Linked DNA regions of Ovis aries. The protein of the gene in region 2 interacts with the protein of the main gene of each other region in a biochemical or structural test. Links are inferred from orthologs where the notes say so. Each region holds a gene or a part of one and is shown on either strand. Other genes may lie near its edges.

Region 1 (16,418 bases), on a different chromosome or scaffold from region 2:
AAGGGAGACACAGCCCTCCTTAGGGAGCCCCAGTCTGAGGGAAGGCACAGGGCAAGGCAGAATTCAACAGGGTTTTCTAGGGGCAGGCAACTGCAGTACTGGGGGCCATTGGTAGCAGAGACCCACAAGTGCAGGCCAATGTCTAACGACCTTATTCAGAAGAGAAAAGCCAGAGAGGTATTTTCTCCCAAGCCCCCCAGTACATAAATCCTTGGTCTTCCCAGGGACTTCTGTTTGTCACCTGTGACACCAAGTAGACTAGCAGAATAACAGCAACAGCATGCACGTGACTCCTCACTCTCCCGGTTACCTAACTTCCAGCCACCGGTGGTGTTCATCACCCTTGGGTCCCTAGTCTGTGAGAAGCTATTGCCTTGTGTGCTCAGCTGTATGAGTGGCTGACCCACCACAGAAATGGTTGTTTGGCTCGGGAACTGGGTTGGAAGATCCTTTCATTTGCATCAGCTGATGCCCAATCTCTGGCCCCCCTCTGAGGCTGCTGTCAAGGCCAGAGTTCTGACCAGCACATTACACAGGGGTGAAGACAAGGGGCTTACCCAGGTGTCAAATCCCTGGGACTTTAAGAACATGTATTGTGGTACTTCTCAACACTTAATGGTGAAGGATCAGTTGGTTGCTTTTATTTTTCAAATTGATCTGTCATGGGCCAGTATTTTTGTAACGTGCAACAATGATAAGTTACAGAAAAAAATAAAATTAAATAACCCAAAATGCAAGACCAACTTCTTAATTACTAGACTCAACAGACATTAAATTACATTTCTAAAGTACATTACATGCACTCAATGGAACTTAGCATTTTTACTAATTTGGAATTGTTTTTCATTTCAGTTTTCCTCCACTCAAATCTGGAAAGCATGAGCTGCTCACTAATTAGAGGTAACCATGGTTACCAACTTGTCTTCAAAATACATTTAAGAGTTCCTTTTTTTCCTTGAGTTTAATTCTACAAAAATAATTTGTCAGTGGCTCTTGTTCCCTTTTCAGTTTCATTGAGTGATTTTCCAAACCCTTGAGCCTTTTGGCAGTCATATTAAAAGTTCCAATATTAAGATTTTTAAAAAATCACCCATTCTTAGAATAAACAGTCCGGGGCCCTGAATTATCTAGTTTTGAAACTTCAGCTGACTGGGAGGGTTAACTAGCAGGTTGGCAAAGAAATGGGCCTGAATTCTGCAGATTTCAGTGTGACTTTCTACAGAGAGGAGCTGGCAACCGCAGGAGTGGTTTTTTAAAAAAAAAACTGTCCACTTGAGGGCATTGTAATCTTCTGTAGGGGAGGAATGGATGCCCAGTTCTTCAGTTCACTAAGTTACTAAGTATAAAGAAATTCACTGATACCTGATTTGCTGCTGTGGTGATTAGATGTCCCTTTGAGACTGGCTCCAAGGGCAGCTGCCCAGCTGTCCTGCGCCTTAATTCAGCCAGCTCTGCTGCTCTGTTCTATCCCATCCTTTGATTATTATTAGTATCTGCCATAATTCCTGAAGCACTGTACTGTGATTTTGTGAATCTCCCACTGGAGCTCTTGGTTGCTGTACCTGCCACATCAGCATAGTGCCTGACACAAAAGTGTGCTTCCATACATATTGTTGGGCCAGCGAAGGGCTTATAACAGTACACACAAGGTGATAAAGAGAGCAGTTGAATCCTTTTCAGAATGGAACTTGGAAAAAGATCAAACAATGTGAGTCACTCTGGCTACAGTCCCAAAGTGTTAGGGCAGGAAAGGCTTGAACTCTTGCCAATTCTGCCTGTTTCTATGTGCCCAGATCAGCATGTGAGCCATGGGAATGAAAAGGTAGAAAAGTTGCTAGTCTTGGAGCTTGATTAGATATAATATTCCACTTGTCAGAAACTTCTTGTGCTGTCTTGAGATTTTTCCAAACCAGAAGGCTCTTAGGAGTTATAGTAAAGTATTCAGAATTAAGATAATAAAATAAAATAAGCCACCCAATCTTAGAGAATACCCTGATGGCATGAGTGACTGGGTTTTTCAATTTCATCACATCTTGAGACAATATTTCATCAAGCTCCTAGAGTTCCATTAGAAACTACCAGATCCTGGTGGTCAAAGAGGATGCAGGAGCAGGCCTGGAAGACTGTGTGGGGGACTTTTCTTGAACTTAACATAACCTAGGACTAAAAGTGCAGTCTGGGGCACAGCAAACCCATCTCCAGGAGATATCCCTTAGTTCTGGCTCAAGGAATAAAAAAGGGAATTCCTAATGGCCAGAGAGTATAAATATTTCTTGTTCTTCTTTTCTTCTCTTTCATGCCACAGCCCCCTGGCAAACACATAGGCACAGTGGTAACAGTCAGTCATGAGCCTGGCCACGGCCAAAACTGAGGAAGAGGCAACTGGCTCTTGGATAGGAGTAGTTATGATCTCAAGAGGGTCTCATCAACCCCTATTGCTTTTTTTCACTCACCGTTCTTCTGTTACTCAGACTTGAACATGGGCCCAAATATGAGAGTGTGTGGCAGAACAGTATAACCAGAGCCAAGTTTTTGGGTGGAGGACCAAAAAGGAGAGTCCCAGGAAACTGGAAAGTTCTGGGGAGATTGTAGAGAGGGAGAGAATAGCTCAGGAAGGCAACCCCATATAGTTGTTCCTTCATGAACTACAGGCCTCGACCCCAAGCCATGCATGCTTGGATCTGGTCCTAATTGGCATATCAAAGACTGAGAACTAAAGTAACACGTAGACTACCATCTACTCCCCAGACCGTCACTGGGCAGTGTCCAACTGATATGGAACCAAAATGCAGTGCTCCTTGTAAAGTGAATTAACCACTTTCTTTTCAGTGTCTGTCTCCTTTGGGGCTTCATGTCCTATTGCATCAGGCCACCCAGGTCCCTTTTCTCTGATCATCGACTGCAGGGATTCATCCTTCGGTCCCATACATCAGGAATCTCTCCTTGAACTTTCTGAAGACTAAAGGACCTTTTGCCATTTGTAGACACAGAGAACGAGGAACAGAAGAAAATCACTTTAATAGCATTGTAACACATTAGGACTGGGGATCACAGATAAGGAAAACATTTTGTCGTCCTATTGTACATTTCTGCCAAGGTGTGAGGTTGTGTTGGACAATGATACAGACATATTTTTCACATTGAAAACTTAATAAATAGATACTTTAAATGTCAGACATCAGAGGTGAGTTATGAGTGTGATTGTTTTCTTATTCTGCCTCCTTTGAGTCAGGAGGTTGCTTCCTATCACACTGCTGAAGGCCAGGTCTTCTAGGAGGTGTATTCAAACTCCTCAGCGCTGCGCCGGCCAAAATCCATCCAGCCCATGTAGTCCCGGTCACTTATCCTGTGGCTGGGGTCCAGGCTCTGCAGGTTCTTGATCACAGACATTCGGCCAGAAGGAGCTAGGGGCAGAGAGGAAGGAAACAGGATAATTATATCTAAGAGCATCACTAGTTCCTATTGTAAAGGCAAATAATAGAAAAGACCAGGCAATATGTAACATACACCCTCTTAAAGGTATAAAAGAGGTATCAAAAGAGTGAGATTGCTGGGCCAAAACCTAAGAGAAAAGAAAGACCCATGTCTGTGTAAATGGAGAGAGGGTAGTATTTTCTACCTGTGGGTGTAGTTTGCAATCTGTAAGAATTTAGGTAAATTAATTTATTCTCGCCTTTCATAGCTGAGACCTGCCTAAGTTTTCCTACTGCTCAGGGTGTTTTCCCTTATATAGCAGGATTTCCTCAGTAGAACCCATCTCTAAAGTTTACCCCTTAAGAGCCTTTCCTGGTGGTCAAGTGGTTCAGGCTCCATGCCCTCAAGGTAGGGGGCATGGTTCATTCTCTGGTTGGGGAACTAAGATCCTACATGGTAAAAAAATAAAATTTACCCCTTAATATCCCTGAGCCTACCTAACTCTTGTCAAGGTAATGTGATGACAATATTTTGATGTTAGAATGGCTTTTCTAAAATGGAATCCAATCTCACTGCTAGATAAATGCTGTTTTAAAATTATTAATTTGAAAGCTACCTTCTTTTTCTAAAAAAAAAAAAAAAGGAAAAATGATATTGAGAAAAAGGCACACTGGCAGATTAAAATCTTAGCATCTCAGTAACACTCAAAGAGGAGAAGGCAATGGCACCCCACTCCAGTACTCTTGCCTGGAAAATCCCATGGATGGAGGAGCCTGGTAGGCTGCAGTCCATGGGGTCGCTAAGAGTTGGGCACGACTGAGCAACTTCACTTTCGCTCTTCACTTTCATGCATTGGAGAAGGAAGTGGCAACCCACCCTAGTATTCTTGCCTGGAGAATCCCAGAGACAGAGGAGCCTAGTGGGCTGCCATCTATGGGGTTGCACAGAGTCGGGCAGGACTGAAGCAACTTAGCAGCAGCAGCACTCAAAGAAGGGTGGGCAGAACAGAGGTAGTTTAGTTCAGCCATTTTGACCAACATGCAATCATTGAACCTGAAATGGGCCCACAGGGATAGGAGTTGAGTCCTTTGGAACAGGATGAGTCCGGGTATGATTCATGTTGAGTGGGCAGTGCCATGATGAGGGCATGTGACTGTTCTGGCCCACAGATCATAGGCCCTGGCATCCTGGGGATAAAATCAGTATCATACCTTCTGTTGTACAAACCAAGGGGCAAGAACAGTCCCTCAGGGATCTCACTGGGCAAAGCCCAAGTGGCTTCAAGAGCAGAGGCTCACTCGATGGTTCTTATTTTATTGGGGGCCACTGTGTCCCCACTGCTCACAATGCTGGCATTGAGCCCTTCTGTACAAGGCTGACCTTGCCAACTGCTGCCCAAGCTGCATCAAGTTGAACCACAGCTTATTTATTGATGACACTGCAGAAGTAGGTATCCTGATAATCAAATAAAGCTAGCTAAATTAAAAATCAGAAACAACCCTATGGAGCAATGTCCCCACCCTTTCTTCCTGTGCCCTCTCTTTCCCCTCCCCATTACTTCTCAGCCTTGGGACTAAGCATCACCCCAGCACATTCCAGCTCTTTTGCAGGGGTTGCCAGTCTATGCAGAGGAAATCAGCCTTTGCTGTTTATTTGTTCAACACATTTCAGATGAACTATTAGTCCCTGCATTCAGCAAAACTCTCAGACCCAGTTATCTGTACACAGTCACACCAAAATATGCCTCATCCTCCTGCTTGTTGCTGCTGAATGCCCCCTCCAAGGGATGAGCACCACTGGAAATGCCATCTAATGGAAGCAACATAGCAGCTTCAGTGTGAGCAGCAGCCTCCGTGGTTGCGGTCGGGGGCATCGTGTACAGTATGGAAGCTGTGCCTGTATCACCCAGAATTTCCCCATTCCACACATGGTTCTGTGTATTTACCAGAGTCCTCACTCACTTCCCCACTGCGTACACAGAGCAGGCACTTACAACCAACTCACACAACTGAAGGGCCTGGCTCCTTGAAACTTTAAAACTTGTAATGAGCAGTACAGCTGGGAAGCTGAATGGCTTCCAGACCCTTTGGGGAGGGCAGGACTTGAGTAAATTCCCAGCCCTTATGCTGCCGAGATGTGCTACCCATCTGGGGACTCAGTCTTCCAGAATCCCAGCTTCCACACTGACACAATGAGGTAATAGACCCTACTGCACAGGGTTGGTGTGAGGACAAAGAGAGAAAACACAGATGGAGCACCGGACTGCGCTGGGCTTGGGGCAGGTGTACACTAATAGAATTCCTTCTCTTCAGATCACTGACATCTCCATAGACAGTTCTTAATGATAAACTCTTGAGCTCTCCCCAAAGGGTGCACTATCTTGTTTAGAATCTTTAAGCACGGCATATACTACAGTTGATTAAATATTCACTGTGATCTCAAAATGTATAAAACAAAGAAACTGTATAGATGGAGATACTTATTTCTAGTTCATATTTGTCAAATAGAAGAGAATTATTTTTTTTTTCCAGCTAGCACTGATCCTTGGTGTTGGCAGCTAAAGTTTCAAGTGATGATTCTTCCCATATGGGTTTGTTTGTCACTGCAGGCTGAAGGCAAAGGGCTGAGAAAAGACAGCAGGAAGGCCCTTCCAGCTAAGAGTTGTGGTATGAAGTCACTGTGAAGTGTCAGTTCTGGGGAAATCATTTGGTAACTGGCTTCTTTCCCAGAACAGTTTCTGGAGGATCTTTCCTGAAGGTAGGAAGGGGCTTCCAGATTATGGTCAATGAAAAACCTAGGATATTCAACCCATATCCAAGGACAGATTTTAAACTACTTTCACACAGACAGTCAGCAGGAACCTCCAAATTTTCAGACATTCTCTGTCGTCTGTCTAATATTTCCACATCTTTCAATATAATTAGGAGGAAAGCAAAATAGAAGATGGTAGTTGGGACAATCCCCCAATAAGAGGATGAAATGTAATGCATCGTCTTCTATTTTTTTCCCTTCTGAATTGTCCTGGTCAAAAATGTCCCTTCTCACTTTCCTATGGAATTGTAGGAGACTCTGGAGAGCCAAACCCTCTATTTTCTCCCCATTTCATCAAGCCACAAGTTAAAGTTCAAATCCAGGCCCCAGAACCCCAGCAATTAATGTTAAGAGAGCCTTGTGGGAAAGGAGCCCACCTCCCACCTCTCCCAGCAGTATTTGCTGGTTTATCATCCAGCCATATTGGTCCAATTTAAAACACAGCTTCACCATTAGTGTCACTTTAGATAAAGTTGATAGGAAAAAAAAAATCTGTCCCAGTTCAAATCATGATTTCTAAGGACCCCAGAGTTGAATGAGCCTCCCCCTGAGTCTCATGAAGAGCTAGAAGGAGCCAAGGGGAACCCCACCTCATACCCTCTTTACAGATGAGACAGTCAGGCCCAGGACAGGGACAGGGCTGTCTGTATGCCACTCAGCTACTGAGTTGCTGAATTACTTTATTCCTAGAGAAAGATTTTGATGCTGAGGAAAGTGTGACTTGTTTAGCTCTTGCCGCATTTGGGTCTGTGTCTCCAACAGCAAAGTAAAAATAAACACATCTCTTGCTGGGTCATCATCTTAAGCCGCTGCTCAAAGAGGACTCAAAACTGCTCCTGATTCTTTCTTCCTGCTACATACTTCCATGAAAATTAACACACAGTCACTTCTTGGACTGTTGCTGTCAGCTCTCAAGTATTCTTGCAACTGACCATTGCCTGCTAGAGGGTTTCCAAATGCAGTAGCTGGGCAGCTCCTGGGTCCTTTATATTTACAGCAGAGGGTGTTTATTGGATCTGCAAACTCTTTCTGAGTTAGTAATTCGCTCAGTAATCATCTTTTAATATCTTTACAATATGTTGAACCTAAACAGCAACACAGTGCCAAAAAGTTTAAAGAAAGCCTTCTCTTAATAAGTTAAGTCCTGCCCCCTTCCCTCTCAGCTTGCTACAAAGGAGGTACAGAAAACTGCACTGTCTGGGGCAAGCAGAATCAGAGAAAAGAAAGTTAAAGACCTTTCACCTTATCGTGTTGCCCAAGTAACCCTTCACTCCCCAGGAGTCACCCACCTTCACCAGCCCGATGGCAGAGAAGAGGGTCAGGCCTGGAGGCAGAAGGGAGGGACAGAGAGGCGGCCTGCGTACCTTTCCGAGCCTGCTGGATGTACCTGGCCAGCAGCGCGCCCAGGTGTGCTCTGGACTCGTCGTCCACCCTCGGCACCGCCCTCAGCTGCCTCCGGGGCGCCTCCTCCTCCTGCTGCGCCGGAGGGCCCGTGGGGTCCGCGTGAGGCATCGGCTGCGCCAGGGCGCCCGCCGCCAGGACCGCCATCAGCAAGCACAGGCGCGCGCCGCGGTTCATGGCTGCGGGGAGCAGAGGGAAGGGGACGTGAACGAAAAGGTGGGGCATCCGCGGGCTCTTGAGGAGGGTCGGACACCCAAGGTACAGAGAAGGGGGCTCAGCCCAAAGGCGCGGGGCTCCGGATCCGCCAGGCAGGTGCCAGCACTAGGGAGCCGGTGACCCCAGCATGCGCGTCCGGGCGCACCGCGTTCCTCTTTGGGGTGAACCGCAATCCGGGGCCCGGGAGTGGTGTGGGGGACGGAGAGAGACCCTGTCCTCTGCCCTGTTTAGCAGAAGGAATGTCTTCGGTTTTCCTTTAGTTTGAGGAAGTGTTACAGCGTCGTCTCTCTTCTCCTAACTGGAAAAACAAGAGATTAAAGACAGGTGAAAATTATCCGAAAGGGACGACTCTGTAGGAAAAATAAGAGCCTTGGTTTTAGAAAAGAGGCACCTTACCAGAGAGCTAAGACGCTTCAACCAGGGAAATAAATGGTGAAACACTGAGAAGCACGGCTTGAAATATGAGACCAATACATAAAAGCCGTATTTTTCAAGTTTCCTCAAGGTGCAAATGGGAATTGGCAAGAACAACTATGTGAAACACAGGCAGGCTTTTAAAAAAATCAGAAATCTGCGCTCAGTCCTCCGGCGTCCGCCAAGCACCGCTGCGTTTTAGATCCGCGCAGATGAAACACTGGGATAGTTCTATCCCTCAAACCTTGAGTTTTCCCGCAGCATTCAGAAAATGAATTTAAATTTAAAACCTCTCGGTAGTATATTTGAAAAGATTGCAAAGTACACTGGACCGCTGTGTAACACCTAGCGAATCGCAATTTGCCGGCTAACCCGAGCAAATAGATGCTCCAGCGTTGCCTGCGCTGGAGAACAAATCAAGCGAGTAGAAGTCTGTAAACCAGCTCTATCCACCCAGCCCGCACTGTCCTTTGTGACTTGGAGAAATGTCTTTCGAGCTGTCGGAAAGAAGACACCGTAAACAGTAAAATGAAATGGAAGGGGAACAGAAGTGAAGAATCATTCTTCGAGGACACTTGGATCCCCGAGAGCCGGGAACCTACCTTCGGAATAGGACGCAGCCGGCTTCGCGGTCCAGCCAGAGCAGCGGGGGAGCTGAGCCAAGTTCAAGGTAGGCGGGCAGGAGGCTGCCTCTTAAATAGCCCCGCCTGAGTCGTTGGCCAGTCATCTGTTTACCCAGTACTGACGCAGAGGGTAGCGGCACGTGCTCCGAGGGCGGCCGCCGGGGCGACAATAGATTGAGGTGGCTGCCTGGGGGGGGGGGGGGGGGGGGCAATGGCCCTGTGGAGCCGGGTGGGTGGCGGGGTGGGTGGCGTCAGCCGCGTCTCGGTCGGGGGGACTTCCTCCCCCAGCTCCGTGCACCCCCTCTGCCTTGCCCATTCCAGCGCGAAGCTCCCCGTCTTCAGGGTGGGAGACCTAGGAATGGGACTCTCCTGCGGGATGGAGAAGCCGCCGCGCGCCTACAGTTCGCTTTGGGGACCAGAGGCGCGGGAAAGGAAACCCGGGATAGGATGGGGTGGCACTAGACAGCGCTGGGTGTCAGCAAAGTGTAATTCTGAGATGGTGGAAATGTCGGCCCCTCTTGGAGCATCCCAGGCTGCTCTGGTTTTTAAACTTTGTTCTCAGCCCCTTGATCCCAGGATCCCGAGGGCAAGGGTCCCTGGGTCAGCGAAAGGGCTCCTCCACGGCTGGCTGCGGGTGTCGCGGACTCTGCTTTACGTAGCTGTGAAACGAGGATGAGGCTATTGGGCTTTGCCCGGAGTTTGGGAAAGGGCTGTGTTTTCTTCCAAGCGGAGCTACCTCCTGCCCGCGGCGCCCGCAGCTCCTGTCGCCAAGCGGCACCAGAGAGTGTCCTCAAAAGCCGCTCAATCGCCGTTCCCCTCTGGCATCGGCATCCGCCAGTTCCATCTTTCCCAGCTTTTACACTTGGGCCGGTCCCCGCCGTCTTTGAAATAAAGACCTCGCTCTTGTCACTCACCCCCCTAGTGGGGACAAGGGAGGCGCCGCGGCAGCTGTGCGCCCTTCCCTGCGGGGTCGCGCCCCCGGCCAGTGCGCCATAGGGGTCTACACTCACCTCCGCCCTGAAGCCCTTTGGGTTAGAGTCATCTAGTTAGTGCTCCAGTTCTCCCGGTGCTGCAAAATTACTGACAACCCCATTTCAGCAACCGGGGAGCCAACAGAAGCAGCAACTGGCCAAGGCTTCTCCACAGTTTCCTGGAGTCTCAGCAGGCTGAGACTTGAGGGTAGCCACCCGCCCCTCCCGCCTTTTCCCTTCCTGGAGAAAGATTTGGACCTGATTCTTTCAAATCAGAATCTGTACTCAGCTCCTGGGATGGTGAGACTGTGGTGTTGAAGTGGGTGGGGAGCCTGACACTTGGTGGGGAGATGCCTGTGGTTGCTGTCCCCCTTTTTAAACTCTAGAGGCTGCTGCATTTCTGCAATCTAAAGGCAACATTTTTGAAACAGAGTTGCAGATTAGATGCTTCCCAGTGGTTTTCCCAAGGAGGCTACTGTGTAAGTTCACTTGGTGAAACTAGTTTTATTTGTGACTGTGGTCAAGGCATGTCTGAGAACATGAAGTTGTTATGGAGCATAATCACCTAAGGGGCTTGCTCAAACACCTCCCAGAGTTTCTGATTCAGTAGGTCTGAGGTGGGGCCCAGAAACTTGCCTTTCTAACGATTTCCCTAAGGCTACTGCTGGTGGTGATGGTCCCCTGACCACACTTTGAGAACCACAGCTACAGAATTTCCTTAGGGTAAGCCAGTTACTGAACTCCCTCCCCTCCATCCATTTAGTTAATATTTATTGAACATGTTTCCTCCTGTATTCTCATTTTCTCATGCCTGGTATCTAGGATCATCTCCCTAATAAATCATGTGCCCCCAAGGTTTTGTCTAATTTCAGCATAATCCTCCTGAGGACATCAACTGTCTATCAGACACTGTTGGGACACAATAGGGAGCAAAACAGGCAAAATGCCTGTGTTCGTGGTGCTTCCATTCTAGCCAGGGAGACAGAAAATAAATGCCACGTGATGTGAAAGGTCTCTGCTTTCATCCAAGAAATGGAAAGGGTGGGAACCACATTCAGATGTGTCACTGTGGACAGCAGAGGTGAGTGAAAACTTGTAACTGTTTTCTGATTTGGAATCTAGAAATTTCCATCTAACTGTGCTGAAAATAATTTAGCTGAGATCCCATTCAGAGTTGGAGAGGCATCCCCAACTCAGCCCTTGAAATCAGGGATGTGATAGTTTCCATGCAGGATTTTTTTTAAGCCATGGGAAGTATCTCAAAGACATATGTCCATTTCTCTTTTGTAGAAAACTGAGTGGAATTTCCAGGGACACACTAGAGCCTCCTACTTTATTTTTCACGGAATTTAAACTTGTTACAGTGATCTCCGTTTAAAGGAGGTTCAGTTCAGTTCAGTTCAGTCGCTTAGTCGTGTCCGACTCTTTGCGACCCCATGAATTGCAGAACACCAGGCCTCCCTGTCCATCACCAACTCCCGGAGTTCACTCAGACTCACGCCCATTGAGTCAGTGATGCCATCCAGCCATCTCATCCTCTGTCGTCCCCTTCTCCTCCTGCCCCCAATCCCTCCCAGCATCAGAGTCTTTTCCAAGGAGTCAACACTTCGCATGAGGTGGCCAAAGTACTGGAGTTTCAGCTTTAGCATCATTCCTTCCAAAGAAATCCCAGGGTTGATCTCCTTCAGAATGGACTGGTTGGATCTCCTTGCAGTCCATGGGACTCTCAAAGAGTCTTCTCCAACACCGCAGTTCAAAAGCATCAATCCTTTGTCGCTCAGCCTTCTTCACAGTCCAACTCTCACATCCATACATGACCACTGGAGAAACCATAGCCTTGACTAGATAGACCTTAGTCAGCAAAGTGATGTCTCTGCTTTTGAATATGCTACCTAGGTTGGTCATAACTTTTCTTCCAAGGAGTAAGCGTCTTTTAATATCATGGCTGCTTTCCCCATCTGCAGTGATTTTGGAGCCCCCCAAAAATAAAGTCTGACACTGTTTCCACTGTTTCCCCATCTATTTCCCATGAAGTGATAGGACCGGATGCCATGATCTTCGTTAGGAGATTGTTTACTGTGATTAGAAATGTGCTTGAAGTCTTATGTTTGGGATCTTGAATTTTTTTTTTTTTCTCTTGAACTTGTATTGGAAATGCCATTATTTGTCTTGTAATTTTCCAGAGGCCCACATAGCCAATGTCATCTGCCATTATATGGAGCAATTTAGCAGAAAAGAAAGAAGGAGCTGCGGTGGTGAACTATTTCCTCTTACTAATGATGAGTTCCCTCAGAATCTCTTAAGATGAGGTGCTCACAAAAGCAAGGCTGAGACAACCTGGGTGCAGGGAGATTACTTGGGAGTGATCTCAAGGAAGTAGGAGTAAGGGAGCAGGGAAGAGAGAGAAGGAAATCAAGTGCATGTTAACGAGGGGGATACTGTTGTGGACTCAATCCCACTGAGGTCTCTCTGAGATAACCCAAGGGACACATCTCATAACCAGCACCCCCAAACCTAGAAGGACAACAGCTCTTGAATAAATATTTGTTGACTGAACTTTTTATCTCTCTGAACATCTTATCTGCTAACATGCCAGAGGATAGGAACCATGATTTACTCATCCAATACAAGGATTATCCTGGACACATGCTAAGTGATCAATACATGTCCACCAAGGAAACAACTTTTAGTTCAGTTGACTGGATTGACTAGGTGTATAGTAGTAAGTGAAAAACCCATTTGTTGGCCTCTGCCTGGGTTTTGGGCTCCCAAATAACCACAGGAATTGTTTTTAACACAATCTCTTTTAGCCAGGGATGTAAAAGCCACCACCCCACTCTGGTACTCTTGCCTGGAAAATCCCATGGACAGAGGAGCCTGGTGGGCTGCAGTCCATGGGGTCGCTGAGAGTTGGACACGGCTCAGTGACTTCACTTTCAGTTTTCACTTTCATACATTGGAGAAAGAAATGGCAACCCACTCCAGTGTTCTTGCCTGGAGAATCCCAGGGACGGGGGAGCCTGGTGGGCTGCCGTCTATGGGGTAGCACAGAGTCAGACATGACTGAAGTGACTTAGCAGCAGCAGCAGTAAGAGCCACCAGAAATGAAAGGTCATCTCCTGAATAAGTGGTGGGAAAGAGGAGAGGTCCGCGGCCAGCCCACTGATCCTCACAGGCAGAATGAGCCTGTGCTTTTCAAACCAATCCTGAAAAGCCAGCAGGAATGGCAGTTGTCAGGGAGACCATCCACCAGTGTCTTCAGGTTTGTCTTTAGTGTCATGTTCCTTTGTAGGAGTAGTAAGAGCAGCCTCTATTGTCTATAACCGGGAAAAGTTAACAAACAGGGAGACTTAAATTCTTTCAGGGGAAGTCTGAAGTTTTTGTGGTCCTGCTGATACAGATTCCCTCTGAAGAGGGGCCTCTCACAGCAAGGGACAAGCACACGTCCCTGCAACATCCCAGCCTCCAGCGGAGACATGTCCTGCCTACCACCATGGTTGCTGCACTTCCCCTCCTCTAAATTAATGCCAGAGGACACGGCTGTCGCTGGTCAGCCTCATCAGGAAAGGTTCTTAGTTTTGCCAACTCAAGTGGTTATTAAATTCAATAATAGGCCTAAGTACACATAATTCAAAATTTTATTAATTTAAAGATAGAAAAGGGTATGTCGTTAAAATGAAGTCTCCTGTTCACCCCTGTTCTTCCCCAGAGGCAAGGAGTGCTTCTAGTTTCTAGCGAATTCTTCCATAGAGAATCCATGAACATACAAGCAAATCAAATGTGTCACACACACACACAAATCATTTCCACTTGGAAGCACATAATATACAATGTTCTCTGCTTTGCTTTTTTCATTTAAGATTTGTATTAGAGGTCACTTTGTACTATTGGCATAATTCTACCTCAGTGTCTATAGAACACTCCAATGGATGGATGTGCCTTAATTCATCTAGCCAGTGCCCTACTGATAAAAAGTTAAATAGTTTCCAATATGTTCTAATTATAACTGAGGCTCCTTGAATATATATCATACTGCTCATGCACAGGTTCCTAGAAGTGGAGTTGCTGAAAGAGTATGTACACTTAAAATTTTGGTAAATATTGCCAAGTTACCCTTCAGGCAATTGTTCCAAGCTGTCAAAGACAGCGTATATATCTTTTCTTGTTTATTAATGCTTTGACTCTAGATGCTTGGCCAGCTCCCCAGCTAAGCTCACTACCAGAGAACATTAGTTCTCAGGTGGTAGAGAGCTGACCCTACTAAACCACTGAGTTTAATCTTTGGGTCACCAAAGATTAAATCTGTGGCCTGTGTGTGTAGAGGGCAAAGGGTGGGAGATCCTTCTCAGTGTGACTGACACTGCTCTCTAGGTGACATTTTGGACATTTATGAAGAATTTGGGGGTGAGCAAAATAACAAGTGATGCCTGCTGGCATTTGGTGGGAGGGTGCCAGAAGGCAGAGTGTCTGGCCACCTGCTAGACGGATAAGTACATAATGTTGGATGACCCCCTGGGTATTCACATGTGTGAAAAGATCGTCTCTAGTTATTCAAGACTAGAAGCTAATTTCATGTAACTTAAGTAGGGAGCATTTTGGGACAGTTTTAACATAACTTAACTTTCCAAGAATGTTAAATCCACTAAGGATCATACTTTGTTTTGATGTGATTTTAAGAGTAAATGGCCACCATTCTGAAAACTCATGTTGCCAGCCCCAGTGTTGCTTGTGATGTTTGAGTTCACACCTCTATTGGCCCACAAAATCCTATGTTTATATTATTTAAATTTTATTTCAAGTTATCAAATGTAAAGGGAAAATGTAAAATTCAGTTGCATCCTGGGTTGCTTATTTTAAATCCGCACTTATTCATTCTAAGTAAGCATAAACATCTGACAACTGTCTTCTAGTTAGCTGTGCCTAACTGTTTACATATTGAGATACATATCATTGTATTCTAAATGGCTTTCTTTTTATATTAGAAAATATACTTTATATTATCTTATATACAGAACATTATATTGATTTAAAAATATTGTGTGTAGAAGTGTATTATGGAATTCCCAGGTGGCTTAGTGGTAAAGAATTCACCTGTCAAAGCAGGTTCGATCCCTGGGTCGGGAAGATCCCCTAGAGGAGGACACGGCAACACATTCCAGTATTCTTGCTGGGGGAATCCCATGGACAGAGGAACCTGATGGGCTACAGTCTATGGGGTCCCAAAGAGCCGACTAAGCACCTGAGCATGCATGCATACACATAGAGGTATATTATAAGAGTTATACATGGTGAAGTGAAGTCTCTCAGTCATGTCCGACTCTTTGCAGGCTCCTACCAGGCTCCTCAGGCGACAGTCCATGGGGTTTTTCAGGCAAGAGTACTGGAGTGGGTTGCCATTTCCTTCTCCAGGGAATATTCCCAACCCAGGAATCGAACCTGGGTCTCCTGCATTGCAGGTAGACGCTGTACCATCTGAGCCACAGGGAAGCCCTATTCATAGTATATTAGGCCAATAAAGGGAGAATGTGAAATATCTATGATTTCAGAGCAGGTCAGATGGGGTTGGGAATCCAAGTCTTCAGAACATGGATGTTTCAGGCTTAATCCTGCTCCACTTGTTTCTTACTCTCCTAACTGAATCTGGGGAAACACTGGGAGCAGGGATTGAAGGCAGGGACTCCAGAAAGATGGGGTGGACTGTGTAGAGGGCAGAGAGTGAGGATATGGTTGCCAAAAAAAGAGATGATGCACGAACAGCACTGAATACACAGTTCTGCTTCCATCTCACCATGCTGCTGACCCTGGGGCCTGACGATACCATTGCATCTGCACTAGCTTCTCTCTGACAAGCCTGAGACCTGAGGGTGGAAAGGGAGCTGCCAAGTTTCAGTACAGAGGTGGGCAGAGCCAGCTGAGGTGCTCTTGAGGTTCAGGGTTTTGGGAACAGCAAGTTTGGGGCTACTTTGCCTAGGGATGATGCTGAGCAATGTGTGAAGGACATGTTGATAAGAAAGGGAGCCAAAAAGAAGAGAGAAAATCATTGTGTGCTAAAAAGCAGCAGGTTTTTTTTTTTCACCATGAAAGTAAAATTTCTGCTTAGATTTTTCACAACATCCAGTCCTTAAGGAATGACACAAAGCTGCAGCATATGCAGAAATTGGCAGCCCGGAAATGAAGGATTCATGCCTAGATTTTCCTAGCACCCATGATGTCGAGTGAAGGAAGGAGTTTGTTTACCAGATTCTGAGACTTCCCCAGAGATGCTGGCAACAGACAGGCCTCCAGCTGAGTGGGGAGCATCAGGGTGCTGGGCCCAGGGGCACTGAGGACGTACAGAGGAGTGAGAATATGACGGTAGCTGCCAGGTTGGGTTTCTTATGTAAGTTTCCAGAGCTTGGAGCGGGGAGGGAAATGAAGCTCAATCTTCAGTCAAGAATGTTGCCTTATATTTGGGGTCCTTTAGTTTGGGTCTCCCCCCGAACAGACCCTGGGACCAAATCCAGATGCAGGTGGTGTGTTTGGGCTGGACCATTCCAGGCAACCAAACTGAGAAGAGGAGAAAGAGAGA
Region 2 (15,745 bases):
AAAGCTTTGACCTCAGATGGGGCCTGCTTTCTTCTCCACCCTTTCCATTTGCTTTTCTTCCCTCCCACCTCTCCTCTCCCAGAGATAACTTGAAGGAAGAGTTTTTCCTTAAAGCATCCCTTGCTTTCCACTAATCAGACCTGAGTAACCAGAGTGTATGGTTGTCCAAGGCTCTGGCTTGAGTTGTCTGTGAGAGTTGTCTGGCACAAGGCCCTCTGTGCCTGTTCACTGTGAGACTGTCTCTTTTCTGATTTGTCTCCATATCTGAGACTTAGCTGGAAACTTGCCTTCTTGGAAGGTTTGAGGGGGATGAGATTTCTAGCACAACTGCCATCCTCAATTTTTGTGGAACTGGCCTCCCTGTGGTGGCTTCCTTCCAGGCATGGAGATGCTAGAACTGGGGCTTCTGAAGGATCCAAAAACAAAAAAAGCCTCTTGATGAAAATGAAAGAGGAGAGTGAAAAAGTTGGCTTCAAGCTCAACATTCAGAAAACTAAGATCATGGCATCTGGTCCCATCACTTCATGGGAAATAGATGGGGAAACAGTGGAAACAGTGGCAGACTTTATTTTAGGGGGCTCCAAAATCACTGCAGATGGTGACTGCAGCCATGAAATTAAAAGATGCTTACTCCTTGGAAGAAAAGTTATGACCAACCTAGACAGCATATTCCAAAGCAGAGATATTACTTTGCCAACAAAGGTCCATCTATTCAAGGCTATGGTTTTTCCAGTGGTCATGTATAGATGTGAGAGTTGAACTATAAAGAAAGCTGAGCACTGAAGAATTGATGCTTTTGAACTATGGTGTTGGAGAAGACTTTTGAGAGTCCCTTGGGCTGCAAGGAGATCCAACCAGTCCATCCTAAAGGAGATCAGTCCTGGGAGTTCTTTGGAAGGACTGATGCTGAGGCTGAAACTCCAAAACTTTGGCCACCTCACTCGAAGAGTTGACTCATTCGAAAGACCCTGATGTTGGGACGGACTGGGGGCAGGAGGAGAAGGGGATGACCGAGGATGAGATGGCTGGATGGCATCACTGACTCGATGCACATGAGTTTGAGTGAACTCCAGGAGTTGGTGATGGACAGGGAGGCCTGGCATGCTGCGATTCATGGGGTTGCAAAGAGTCAGACATGACTGAGCGACTGAACTGAACTGAACTGAACTGAACTGAAGGATCCAAGTCTGTAGAGCTATAGACTTACCTGTTTTTCTATTTGGAGTCCTGAGAAGAGACCTGAGTGGTTCCAATTTCTCCCATCTCCCCAGGCTGAATGTCCCCTCTGGGAGGTTAGAGTCAGGATGTATAGTGAAAGAGTATGGATTTTGGAGTCAAGAAGACCTGGGTTCAGATTCTAACTCCACCACTTCCTAACAACATCTCTTAGCAGACTCTGATCCTCCTCTTGGATTCTGGGTTCTGTCCCCCTCATTTAGGGATGGTTTTCTATCTGCAGAGGGCTGTGTTTCCAGGTACAAATCCTTCACCCTGGTCTGGAAACTATCTCAATGCAATCTTCCTTATGCTATGTATCTCTACAATTACAAGCACTGACTGGGATCTTTGTTCCTCCACCAAGGATTGAACTCAGACAGTGAAACCAGTGAAAGCACTGAGTCCTAACCACTGGACCACCAGGGAATTCCCCCATAAGCACTTTTGAGCATTCTTTTCTTAATTCTCAAAATACCAAAGTGGATTATGATTCTGATGCAAATGAACTATAATGTGCATTTTTTTACCGCACCACCAAGCAATGCCCTCATACCGACCGGGTGTCCTTTAATCAACCCAATTCAGATATTATCTACCTGGAGATAGTGTCAGATCCCACAGATTAAGAGCTCAGTCCTACAAGACTACCCCCTCAAGCCCCACCCCTGTCCAGATCCAGTTTATCACTTGTGCTTCTGGCCAGCTAGTTATAGATTGGAGATATCCCCACCCTTGACTTGGGTTCCATTACTTTGCTAGAGCAGTTCCTAGAACTCAGAGAAACATTTTACTTACTAGATATTGGTTTATTATAAAGGGATATGACTCAGGAACAGCCAATGGATGAGATGCATAGGGCAAGATACATGAGAAGGGGCACAGAGCTCCTCTGCCAATGAGACACTCTCCCCAAATCTCCCTGTGTTCCCCAACCTGTCAGTCGCTGTCCTTTTGAGATTTTATGGAAGCTTCTTACATCGGCACAGTTGATTAAATCGTTGGCTTTTAGTGACTGATCTCAATCTCTAGACGCTTTTCCTTCCTCGGGGGTCAGGGAGTGGGTCTGAATTTTGCGAGTGCATGCACAGTAACTAAGTCGTGTTCAACTCTTTGTGACACCATGGACTATAGCCTGCCAGGTTCCTCTGTCCATGGGATTTCCCAGACAAGAATACTGGAGTGGGTTGCCATTTCCTCCTCCAGGGGATCTTCTCAACCCAGGGATCAAACCTTCATCTCTTATATTGACTCAGACTCTGATTACTTTGTTGATTTCTGTTAGTTTCTCTGACAAACCAGCTTCCATCCTTAGGTGATCTAGGGATTTTCCAAAAGTGACTACATTAACATAATAAAAGACACCTTATGGGCTCTCAGTTCAGTTCAGTTCAGTTCATTTCAGTCGCTCAGTTGTGTCCGACTCTTTGCGACCCCATGAATTGCAGCAGGTCAGACCTCCCTGTCCATCACCAACTCCCGGAGTTCACTCAGACTCAAGTCCATTGAGTCAGTGATGCCATCCAGCCATCTCATCCTCTGTCGTCCCCTTCTCCTCCTGCCCCCAATCCCTCCCAGCATCATGGGCTCTCAACACTTAGGAAATTCCAAGGAGCTCTGTGCCAGGAATAGGACAAAGATTGGCTAGATATATACATTAATATATATTTCTTATAAATCATAATATTGCAGAAGATAATGTAATTCTTTGCATTTTACAGGTGAGACTGAGATTCATTGAGATAAGTTGCACAAAATCACACAACTTTTAAAAGGCAGGACCACTGGTACCCAGATCTTCAAGGTTTGAAGGAAGGCAAAACAGCATAATGGAAGGAAACAAAGCTTTAGAGGCAACCTGAGCTCAGTTCCTGTCTCCCTTCTAGCTGCAGGGCCTCATGTAACTCCCTTAAGCTTTCTCAGCTTCACTTTCCTCTTCTGTCAAGTGAAGAGAAATGTTCTGGAGAAGAGTTTTGAGAATGAGATAAATTAGTATATATAAACTCCTGTCACACAGAATCAAGAAGCATTGGATTTCACCCCTACTCCATCCATCACTCCACCTTCTAGGCCCAGGCTCAGTCATCTTCCCATGACATCATTCTGTTCCCTGCCCAGGATGGGAAATCAGGCTGGAACATAAATAACTATGCTAGAAGAGAGAAAGCAGTAAGTACTCTAGGAGCAGACAAGCTTTGTGAGGATGACCAAGCAGGATTTCATGGAGACAGTGATATTAAAATTTGTACCTGAAATGTTTTGTCAGATTTCCAGAGATGGGAAATAGATGGAAGGACCCCAAATTCCACATCGGGTAACTAGATAGGGCACAGGGTGACGGATGTGTAAGTATTCTGTAGAAGACTGCATAGTGTGGGAAATGGCATTATTCAGGCTGTGCCTATGTGCTAGGTTCTAGGGTAGCCCTGGACCACCATACTTGAGCTCATATTCCAGGCTTAAAGGCTTGGAGTATGAGCTCTCCATGAGCTCATGAGCTATGAGTATCAGCCCTCCCTTACTGAGCTCCCCATCACCATCTGATGGACATTAGGAACCTGGGCCCAAGCTGGAGGGACTGACAGTGGGGGACCTTCTTCAAGGCTGTATCTCCTTCAGAAAGGATGGTGGGAATGAGGATCAGGGAGTGCCGTGAAGGCTGTGGGCAAACCTACTCCCACCCCCTGGAAAAGCTGGCATGAGTGAGCAAGGCCCAATATCTTGCTTTCCACAACTCCGACCAGCTGGGATTCTATTTTTAACCAGTACTGTCTTAGTTGACAGCTTGGAACGCCTTCTCCCTCCTTTTCTTCCTTCCTCCTGCCTCTTGCAGCCGAGAGCCCTGCAGAGAGGATGGATAGGAGCAGCTCAGAACTGGTAAACAGACCACTCTCCTTTCTCACTGCCCTTCACTTCATCCAGTGTTTGCTCAATGTCGTTAGTGGGTGGATTTTAGAGGTATTATTGGCTGTGAAGCTAATGGAGCTTACATCTCAGGAATCCTCTCTTGCAGCGATCTCTTCCAAGGCCCTGGTCAGTGTCCTAGCAATTTTGTAGCTGTAATTTTGTATTTTTTTTTTTTCCTTAAAAAAGGGACACCCAATTTTATAAGCTCCAGGCTCACAAAGTTTGGATCGACACCAGAGGGTCTGGCTTCTCTTCCACCTCCAGCTCAGTGTCTACTTCAATAAGATTATTTCTGTCTTGCTTTAATTTCTTGTATGATCTTGAGCCGCTTTCTTTCTTGTGCTGGGTCGCAGTTTCTCTACCTGTTACAAGATGAAGTGTCAAGGAGCCCTCTCCTAGCATACCACACCTGTCTATTTCTGTGTTCCCTCGGTGAGATCATCTGTTCTTCCTGGTTTGTCACTGTATGTGTGGAGGGGTGATTTGCTGTCTCTGCCTCTCTCTCGGGCTGAATCAGTCTTAGAGTCAACAGGGAGACTGATTTCCGGGACTTTCATTCAGGTTCAGCCCCCTACCTCCTTTCCCACCGCACTTCTCCTTGTTGCTGGCCAGTAAAAGGTGCTTCCACAGGTAACAGTGCATTAAAAGGCCCAACTCTTTAATTCTGTATATCTATTATGTTCTGACCCCATATTATTACAAATACACAGTGAATAAACTGACCCTTAACATATGGTGCTTCCTTTTTTCATTAAAATTTTAATAAGCATCTATTAATACAGTACCCTAACAAGGGGACCACTTTAGAACAATGTGCTTAGGAATGATGGTGCGTCATGCATATCCCACCCCATCCTCATTCCCAGCTTCATGACTGTGGTGTGAGGTGGGTCCAGGTTGACCACTTAGAGGGAATTCACACAGCCTCATCTAGACTTAGGCCATGGGCTTTTTGGCAGGGGGTCATGCACAGGAGTGAGCAGCAGGGGGAGGGACCTGACAGAGAAGTCTCCCAAATCCCATGCCCCCTCACGTGCCCCAGAAAAGTCCAAAAAGGAAATTGAGGGGGAAACCAAGTCATTTATTATTTCTTGAAAAAGTCGGGTGAGGGATTATTTAACTGGAAAGGAATGAAGGGACTTCTTAGTGCAAAACAGCTCGTTGGTCCGGGGAGTGTGAGATTAGGCAGGTTGGTGTTTGCAGCACTGATTGGGGAAGGGCACTGTGAGGTCAAACTATGGGCACAGTGGAGCATCTCAGGAGTCATTTCTGTGCCAGGCTCCAGAGCCCTGAAAGATTCAATGCCCCTGCTGTACGTGTGAGAGGCAGGTCAGCCCCTGTCGGTTTCCACAGTGTGGAGACAGTCCATGGCTAGGGACGCTGGGTCTGTCCAAGGTCAGTGCCCTGGCTCTGTGTGCCAGGCTCAGTCCCTCACTGAGTGCCTCCTTTTCTGTGTGAGGGTCTGGTTTGTTTTCTTAGTGTCAGGTAAGCCACCCTCTCCTGGCCATTGGGGTTAGTCAGTCTCTCGTGTCAGCTGCGTCTCTTGTGTGTTTGGACGGGGCTGAGCTGGTAGGAATCCGTCTGTCCTGCCTCAGCCCCGCTCCCGCTCCACCCCTCAGCCAGGCCCCAGCGTGCTGATGGTGGTATAGCTCAGCCTGGACAGTGAGGCGATGGACGGGGTGGGAGGGTCCTCGTCCGGCAGAGGTCTGGGGCGAGCCCGCGGAGGCCGAGGACAGCAGCGGGTGCAGGTGTCAAGGCAGGCCTGGCGAAAGCGACGGTGCATGAAGCAGTAGACCAGGGGGTTGACACAGGCAGAGGCGTAGCTTAGCAAGTGGATGAAGGAGATGGGCGCACCCGAGAGTGCACGATGTGCGCCGGGGCCATCGAAGGCGCGCCACGTGTTGGCGCTGTACACCGGCAACCAACACAGGAAAAAAAGCACAACGATCACCAGTAACATCCGCACCACGCGCTTCTTAGCCAGCAGCTTGGCCTGGGCAGGCCGGGTGCCGGATCCTGGGCCAGGTGTGGGCGCGGTCAGGGCAGACATCTCCAGTGCAGGCCGGGAGCGCGGAAGCTGCACATAACAGCCGTCGCCGTCCTCACCCGCCAGTCGGGTCTCAGACCGGCAACGTCCGTTCGCCTGGGCAGGACCTGAGCACAAACCGTGGGCTGAATCCCCCAAATCGCACACATTTCCGCCCCACCCACTTTATGTCCCGCCCCTTCCCAAAGTCCCGCCCCCTCCTGGATTTCACACACCTTGTCCGGTGCCACCGGGCAGCCCTCCCTGACTTCCGACCCGGCTCTGGCTCTCGCTGTCACTGTCACCGTCAAAGCGAAGCCCTAAGTAGAGCTCACGGGAGATAAGCCCGTAGGCCACCGCCATAACCACCCCAGGCACGAAAAACAAGAGCAGGAGCAGCAGTACCGACCTGGAGACAGAGCGCAGACCAGTCAGTGGGTCCCTGTCCAGCTATAATCACTGATGGAGGAAGACTGAAGAACTGTGTTTCTAGGGCTGGTGACCACGTCCCAGAGGTAGAAGTAGGATTAGGGGTACAGCTGGGAAGGGCTAGAGAACTGGGGAGGAGCCCCGAATGGGGATCTCAGGGCGGTGGGTCGTGATAATTGTTGGAGCAAGATTCTGGGTAATGCTTGTGAGTGATGGAGATAAGAAAAGGGAATTCTCAGGAATGGGTAATAGGCACCCTCACCAGGTTTGGCGGACCCGCGCACTGGGCCACCGGTGCATGCATTGCAAGACACGAGGCCCTGCTGGCTGCACGGCAGTGTACACTGGATAGGGCACCATGAGCAGTCCGGACAGCATCCACGTGGCTACGATTACACGAGCCGCGTGGGAGCGCGTCTGCCACACGCGCGCCTGCAGTGGTCGGCAGATGGCGCTGTACCGCTCCAGGGCGATGGCCACGAGGCTTAGCGTGGACACGCTCACAGACACCCCTAGGAGGGAAGAGGAAAGGGTTACCTAGGAAACTTGCGCTACACACTCCCCAGTGTGACTTCCACACTCCAGGTGAAGACAGACCCCTCTACATGCGGCAAGGACTTTAGAAGAGGAGAGGGCCAAGGGAGGCAGGGCGATTGTTTACCTACCCATGAAGTAGGAAACCGCCTTGCAGACGACTGTGCCGAAGATAAATGTGCCCATGAGATTGGGCAGGAGGGTGAAGGGCATGCAAGCCACAGCCAGCAGGAGGTCGCTGACTGCCAGTGAGAGCAGAAAGGCATTGGTGACGGTCCTCAGACGGCGGCTCAGCCCCAGGACCACGATGATGAGCACATTTCCTCCAACACTCATCAGAAAGATCACAGCGTAGAGGGTGACCCTAATGGCCAGCTCCAATTCTGGGTAGGAAAGAGGTGAGGTGGCAGGAGGGGGTCTGGCCCCCGCTCAGCTGGGCTATCCAGTCTCACTTATTCCCAACTCTTCAAGCCCCACTACCCAGCCAGATCCCCTGCTTCTCAAATCCTCCCCCTCCCCCACTGGCCCAGGATCCACTCAGTAAATGGTGAACTTGAATCTGTTACCCTTTTAACCTCTGCTGCTGCTGCTAAGTCGCTTCAGTCGTGTCTGACTCTGTGCGACCCCATAGACCGCAGCCCACCAGGCTCCACCGTCCCTGGGATTCTCCAGGCAAGAATACTGGAGTGGGTTGCCACTTCATTCTCCAATGCATGAAAGTGAAAAGTGAAAGTGAAGTCGCTCAGTCGTGTCTGACTCTTCGAGACCCCATGGAATGCAGCCTACCAGGCTCCTCTGTTCATGGGATTTTCCAGGCAAGAGTACTGGAGTGGGGTGCCATTGCCTTCTCCGTTTAACCTCTAGAAGCCTAGTTAAAGTGGCCTAACTCTACCCTTCCTTAAGAAACCCTGTCTGTTCTCAAGGTTTGCTCCAAATCCTTCCTTCTCTTTGCAGCCAAACTTTTTGTAGAGATTATTTGCATCTTTTCATCCACTCCTCAATCTATTACGATTCAGTGACCTCTTCCCCATTACTGTTCATAAGTGTTCATTACACTTCTTTTCATGATTACTAAGCTTTAACTACCAAATCCAAAGGTCCTTTCTCAGCCTATTCTACTTGATGGCCTCCTGGTAGCATTCAACCCTGTTGACTGCTATCTTTTGAGACACAGGTCTGATCATGTCTTTATTGTCTTAAAAAGCAACAATAATCACTAAATAAACAAGCAAAAAGACCCTTTACCTACTCTCAACTGTCTTCATCTTGTCATCAAGATTCTCCCAGAACTGGCCTTTTCTTCCTCTCACCTCATCCCTGCAATGCACTCATTTAAGCCACCAGATGACTCAGTTTCTGGGAGGCATCAGGTGCACTCATGACTCTCCTTTGCTCACATTGGTTTATCAGCCTAAACTGCTCTTTCACTGCGCCCCTACCACTATTAATACCCTCCTCCCCCCACTGAAAGTGAAAGTGAAGTCGCTCAGTCGTGTCTGACTTTTTGGGACCCCATGGACTGTAGCCTACCAGGCTCCTCCGTCCATGGGATTTTCCAGGCAAGAATACTGGAGTGGGTTGCCATTTCCTTCTCCAGGGGATCTTCCCCACCCAGGGATTGAAACCGGGTCTCCCGCATTATAGGCAGGTGCTTTACTGTCTGAGCCACCAGGGAAGGACTCTCAATAATAAACTTGTTTTCTGTTATCTAGTGAACTCCTACTTACTATTGTCTTTCAAGACTCGGACTGACTGCTCCCTCCTCTATAAGGCCTCTCTGGGCACCTTATTTGGAGCTAATCTCCCCTTCTTCTGACCCATGCATGTTCCCTACACACCTGTTAGAACGGCCTTTACTTTCTGCCTTGTATTTTAATTATCTATAAACATTCCCTCTCACTCCACAAGCATTTCAGAGGATTATCTTTATACTAGGCACTGGGGACAAAGAGATGAACATGACAAATGCTCTGAGAGCTCTCATCTGAGAGCTCACATTCTAGAAGTCTAGAGGGAAACTCAGACGTATAAATAGATATCTGTCACACAGTGTGATAAGAAGTGAGGTTGAAGAATGACAGAATGCTCTGGGAGCTCACAGGAAGGACACGTAGCACTGCTGGGCAGGACAAAGGGCTGACCCCGTTCACTTGTGTCATTGCCTGTTGGGGGGAACGGTTCATCACTGAGCTGCCATATCACAACCAAGACAAAACTGAATTGAATTAAACTGGACCCAGTCACCTGTGCCCATGGCCTCAGTGTGAGGGAGACTGGAGGTTGGAAGGAAAGAGGGCAGGGACAGAGCCTACCAGGTTGGGGGAGGGAAGGGCCCAGAGCTGCATCACTCTCCATAGCCCTGTACATTGGCTGACTTTCGCCTTAATTCCCAAATTAAACTGTTTTTTTCCCCATATCAGTAGTTATGTACTTATCCAGAAGTTGTTGCAGACTTCAAGGAAGTGCTATTTACAAGAAACCTCCTAACTGAAATGTCTGCAATGCAGGAGACACAGGAGATGCGGGTTCGATTCCTGGGTTGGGAAGATTCCCTGGAGAAGGAAATAGCAACGCAGTCCAGTATTCTTGACTGAAAAATCCCATGCTCAGAGGAACCTGGCAGGCTAGAGTCCATGGGGTCGCAAAAAGTCAGACACGACTGAGCGACTAAGCAGTTTATAGTACCCTCACTGAGTCCAGGAATGACAGACATTACTTCCTCAGAGCACACAGCAAGTAAGGAGCCGAATCGGAGCAGAATCTTGTCTCTACATTTCCAAAAGGCTTTGTCTCCTGCTGCTCCCTCACTTCTCTGTCATACTCTACCCTGGCATTTCTTACCCTGTTATTATGGTCATGTTCTGCCTCTGCCACTGGACTATGAGCTCTTGAGGGCAGGGGCAATGCCCATCTTGTTCTTCAGCATGTCCCTAGCATTTGGCATAATGCTTCCTGCACAGGAGGTGTTAACACCTGCTTGCTAATGAATCTTAACTGTATCTCTGTCACTGTCCATATAAATGCATCTGCTCTGTTTCTCCTCATCCATCCTTCATCTCTGTGCTTCTAAAGCTCCAGCATGCACTCTCCTTGCTGCCTCACTGCCTCTGTTTCTTTGGAGACCCATGTTGGAGAATCTTTTAGGTGGTACAGGGGAAGGGGTCAATAACAGGCTGTGATTTGGGATGTGTTACTTTTACTATTATACGCAAACTGTCTATGTCTCATTTAGAAGCTGGGCTCCCTCTCTGCAGGGGAGGCTTATGGAAGGTTTGCTTATGTGTGACAATTTGAGGTGTGTGTGTATATGTGTGTGTATAGGGGGAAATAACATTTGGGAGGGGGGATCTCTGTCAGAGAGGTCCTTGGACCCAAGAATATAGAACAGGTGGTCTACCTTGCATTTTTTTGTGTCTCCTTTCAGTCCACTGCCCCTCTACACCCTTCTCCTCTCCTCTCCTCCCATCCCTTATCTCTCTAGTCCTATCATCTCTCTCACATCCTCCTCTGTCCTCTGGATGTTTCTCTTCAACTAGATTTTTCTTTTTTTTGGCTGCACTGTGGAGCCCCAGCAGTGCCAGCACTGAGTCCTAACCGCTGGACCACCAGGAGCTCCCTTTCTACTAGTTCTTGATTCAATAATCACACCTAAATCTGGATGGCACTCTAAGTTGTGAAAAGCACACTTCTCATTTGTTCATCTGGGGTACAGCCATCAGTGCCTTGACAGTCTACCTGTGGGTGTCATTCTGCTGGGGATGAGTGTGTGCTAAATCGTCAGTCATGTGGGACTCTTTGTGACTCTATGGACTGTAGGCCACCAGGCTCCTCTGTCCATGGGATTCTCCAGGCAAGAACACTGGTGTGGGTTGCCATGCCCTCACCCAGAGGATCTTCCTGACCCAGGGATTGAACCCGAGTCTCTTACGTCTTCTACATTGGCAGGTGGCTTGTTTACCACTGTGCCACGCGAGCAGATCAGAAGTCAGACCAGGGGACTCGGAAGACTGGAACAGTCCAGTTCTGCTTCTGGTGTCTAGAGCATCTGCATTTGTTCCGTCCACATGAGGACAGAGAAGTGTGGGTACAAAAATCCAGATGATTTCACATAAGACAAGAACAGGCTTTTCTAAGAAATAATTCCACAGAACAGTGAAGCTGCTGATGCCTCAGATCCTGCCGTTCACTGGTGTGTTGGGTTTGGTTACCCATCACACGGACATCAAAGTAGTACCCGTGCTTCTGTGGTGAGCATGGATATCATCCAGCTGATTGTGAATGGGAGTGGAGTAAGCCTTGGGAATACTTGAGTATTAGAGATGATATCTGGATGGGTGAGATTAACACATATTTCTGTGTGCAATATCTGGAGAAGGGTAACAGCTATGTGTCTATAAGTAATATCTGATTGAGTGTGGGTTACTTTTAAGTTTAGGTAATATCTGAGGAAGTGTTGTAACATTTGAATAAGCGAGGGTCTACAGATAACACCTTGTTTGTAGGTAACGTCTACAGGAAGCATGGGTTACATTCAGAGGTCTGTGTGTGAATGAGGGAAATATCCAGCTGATGGTGGTCCTAGACGACTGAGCAGAAGTAATATGAAAGTGTATGTGGGCAATATTTAAGTGAGTGTACATATGAAATGCTAACAGATTAGGATGTTAACCTGATTGAGTAAAATAACAGCATCTGAATGACCACAGGTAGTATTTGAGTCTTTGCAGGTATTATCTGAATATGTAACAGTTGTATCCAGGTAACAGATATATAGGTAATATATCTATATATAGGTAGACTTTATAGGTGATACCTGGAGATGGGTTCCTTAAGTAAGCATGAATAGTATTTGATTATATGTGGATAATAAAAAAAATGAAAGCATGTATATTTGATGGATGAGTAACATCGAAATGACAATGGGCAATATTAAAGTAAGTGTGGGTGGCGTCTGTTTTTCTGTGGGTACCTTCTTTTTTTCCCATTCTATTTATTTTGTAAATTGCAGTGTAATTGCTTTACAAGGCTTTGTTGGTTTCTGCTGTACAACAACATGAATTAGCTGTGTGTATAAGCATGTCCTCTCCCCCTGGAGCCTCCTTCCCACCCCTCCTCCTTCCGCCTGTCTAGGTCATCACAGAGCACTGAGCTGAGCTCCCTGGGCTATACCGTAGCCTCCCACTAGCTATCTGTTTTGCAAATGGTAATGCATATATCTCAATGCTATTCTCGCAATTTGTCCCACCCTCTCCTTCCCCTCTGTGTCCACAAGTCCATCCTGTGTGCAGTTTCTGAGTGAACACTGGAAACATTTAAGTGTATGTGGATTATATCAGAATAATGTGCGTAACAGCCACGTTTCTCCTCATAACACTGGGTGAGCCTGGGTGAGATGTGTCTGTAGGGGTAATAGCTGAGTGAGTGTGGCTGACAGTCTCTGACTGTGGGTATCACATGCAGGTGTGTGTGGGCAGCAGCATCTAGATGGCTTGGGCTCTGAATCACTGCACATTCTGCTTGCTCAAGGTCCCTTCCTCTATCAACTAGCCCCTCTGTCTTCTGCACTCAGCCTCCCTCTCTCTAGGCCCATCCCCCACCAACATTTAAAAACTGGTTTTTTCTCTGCAACACGTACACACTCAAAAGACAAGCTATGTGTGCACGTGCATGTACACACACACACACACACACACACTTCCTCAACCTCATGTTATTTCTAGAACTATCCTGTTTTTTCTTTGTCTCCCTCTCTCTCTTCAAAACATATGGAAGTTTTTATCTGCATGCCTTGGTTCACTTCTCATAACCCCTTCTCCATGGCCCAAACTTCAACTGACCGTAGTCAGTAATAACACCGTAACCCTAACCCCACAGCTCCTCCTAAGGTGTCTTTTCCATTGAATCCGAAGGATGTTATTCTGACCTTATCTGACTTATATTGGCAGCATGTGATATTCTGTTTGAAATTTTCCTTTTTTTTTTTTTTCTTCCTTGCCTTCTTGTCTCTCTAATGGTTTCGTCTAGATCTCCTTCATGGACTCCTCTTCTTCTGCTTGGCTTTTAAAACTTGGTCTTCCTCAAGGTCCTATCCCAGGACCTCTTTTTTTTTTTTTTTTTTTAAATCTGACACAATCTTTGTATGATTTAATCTAGTTTCATGGCTTTCATTACCTCCTCTAGACAAACAAAAACCTTTCAAGTCTTCCTTTCCAGCTTGTACCGCCCAGATCCTTGGATTCAACAGCTTACTGGGCAACTCCACCTGGATATTTCACTGGCATTTAAACTCAGTGGGTTCCAAATTGAATGGATAATCTCCTCTTTCAAATGTTTCTGCTTCCTTATTATCCTCAATATACAGCACAACTACCCAGTTGTCTAAGCCAGAAACCTAGATGTCGCCCCTTGACCTCTTCTTCCCTCTCCGTTTCTAATAAATCATTAAGTTCGGTGGGTTTCACTTCCTGAAGTATCTCCCCAATCCATCCAGTTCTCTCCATCTCCACTGCCAGTAGCTCAGCCTAAGCCAGTATCCTGTTTCACCAGGGCCAGCGTAACACAGTAGCCTTCAAAGGGATGCCCCTCTGCCCATCTCTTGTCCTCCAATCCGCCCTCTTTACTACAGAACTAATCCTGGCAGCACGACTTCACCTTCCAGCAGTTCCCATTGACCTTGGGATAAAATCCATACTCCTTAGACAGTTCCACACATTTTTCTGGAGTCTCTCTAGGCTGGCCTTCATCCTGAGTGGTCACCATTCCTCTCTTATGGTACATGTTCCAGGCACTCAGAAACTGATACACTGGACGAAAGTGCCATGGATTTAAACTCTGGGTGTTTATACATACTGTTCCTCTGCTTGAGATGATTTTTGCCTTTTGTGCCCCTTCATCTGGCTGACTTTCCCTCAGGTTTTTTCTTCTTAAATTTTTCATTGGAGGATAATTGTTTCACAGTATTGTGCTGTTTTCTGCCATGAATCAATATGAATCAGCCACATGTATACAATATGCCCCTCCTTCTTGAACTTCCCTCCCATCTCCCACCCCTCCCACTCCTCTAGGTTGTCACAGAGTACTTCCCTCAGCATTTTAATTTCTTTTTCAATTTACCCTTTACCTCCTCAGAAGGTCAAATTTGATTCCCAAGGCTAAGCTAGGCTAGAGGTGCTCCTCATCTATGTTCCCACATCCCTCTCAAGGCACGTCCCTCGTTGTCTGGCAAATCCCTGCTTACTTGTCTGTCTCTCCGACTGAACTGTGAGCTCCTTGAAATAAGAACCGTGTCAGTTTTGTTTTACTCCTGTCCCTAGTGTCTAGCACAATCTCTGATTCAATAAATATTTGTTGAGTGAAAGTATCCAAGTGTAAGAATGAGAGAGTGTATAACAGTGAGCTGAGAAAGCCTTTGATATTTTATGGAGGTAAATAAATCCTTCAATTACAATTTATTCCCACTTTCCCTTCTAGAGCTTGGAATAATTTCCTTCTGCTTAATGCTGTTCCCTCTCCTGGAATCCCACTTATTACTTTTCTGCCTCCTGAACTCCAGCTTCAAGGTTCCCTCTGTGAAGTTTTCAGATCTCATCTCCTTTGGGTGCCCACAATTTGGTCCCTCTTATGGGAATTCTAAATGCTGACTGTGGTTTCTCCCATTGGTTTTTGTCTCTTTCCTGCATTGAAGATGAGAGTCCAGACTGGCTCTAGTTTAGTCCTGTGTGTCTGGCACCTAGCCTAGGGACTATAGTAGCAGCTGTCTAGTAACCACTTAAGGAAAGAAAAGGTATGGGAAGGGGAAATATGACTGGAGCTGGGTCATCAAGAAAATGTAGATGTGGAGTGAAGGGAGGAGTGAAAGTCATTTCAGGGACTGGGTGAGTGACAGCAGCCTGCGGGTGGGAGGGAAAGGTGGCCCAAGGGGCGGGATGATGAATGGGGCAGCCAGGCTCTAGAAGGGTGAAACCTAAGGAAAGGCAGGTTGGAGAGGGGGCTTGGAAGGGACCTAGAGACATTACTTGGAGACACCAAAAGAGAGAGGGTATAGAGCCTTGAGAACTCCAGCTTGGGAGGCAAGGAGATTTGAGGAAGAGGGCAAAGGAGATCAGCCCCCAACCCAACATCCAGCCTAATTCAGGTTAGGGGATCTCTTGGGGAAGGCAAGGAGTTGGGGCGGGCAACACAGGAGACTGTAATTGTTTGTAACTGACTGTAACTTCCCATTCAGGTCTTCCAGACCGCCTCTGCCAGCAGCCAGCCCCCTTCATCCCCCCAGTCTTGCCTTTCTTCCTTCCTTTCCTTTCCCATTGAGGCTGCCTGAACTGACTGCAAGAGGAAAGGAGACTTGGAAGGGATTGGCCAGAGGAGGTCCTTGCCTTTCCACTGTCTCTGTCTAGCAGTGGGCTGTGTGTTGGTGAAGGTGATGCGTTTTGGGGGTGACCAAGAGCTCTGGGGGTGGCGAGGGGACCAGGGTGTGAGGGGACTGTGACCAGGTAGTGTGAAGCTGTGATGGAGTTCTATGAGCTGTGGAGGACAGATGTGTCAGGGGAGCTGTCTGGGGACGGAGGGAGTACTATGAAGGGATGGTGTGGGCGTTTGAGGAGGCTATGGGGGCCTCCGTGAGTGTTGTGGGGTGCA

The links.
Region 1: the proteins of CCKBR (region 2) and CCK form a complex in vitro, tested with the Homo sapiens proteins (3 studies listed by BioGRID). The link is inferred for Ovis aries from reciprocal best matches to the Homo sapiens genes CCKBR and CCK.

What each region holds. Positions count from the first base shown.
Region 1 is NC_056072.1:14,563,816-14,580,233, forward strand, and holds CCK (cholecystokinin), read right to left. Parts: upstream 8,924-16,418; 5' UTR 8,859-8,923; intron 7,806-8,858; 5' UTR 7,804-7,805; coding exon 7,590-7,803; intron 3,405-7,589; coding exon 3,271-3,404; 3' UTR 3,000-3,270; downstream 1-2,999. UniProt on the Homo sapiens protein: This peptide hormone induces gall bladder contraction and the release of pancreatic enzymes in the gut. Its function in the brain is not clear.
Region 2 is NC_056068.1:46,500,683-46,516,427, forward strand, and holds the end of CCKBR (gastrin/cholecystokinin type B receptor), read right to left. Parts: intron 7,495-15,745; coding exon 7,243-7,494; intron 7,090-7,242; coding exon 6,840-7,089; intron 6,558-6,839; coding exon 6,385-6,557; intron 6,277-6,384; coding exon 5,738-6,276; 3' UTR 4,862-5,737; downstream 1-4,861. UniProt on the Homo sapiens protein: Receptor for gastrin and cholecystokinin. The CCK-B receptors occur throughout the central nervous system where they modulate anxiety, analgesia, arousal, and neuroleptic activity.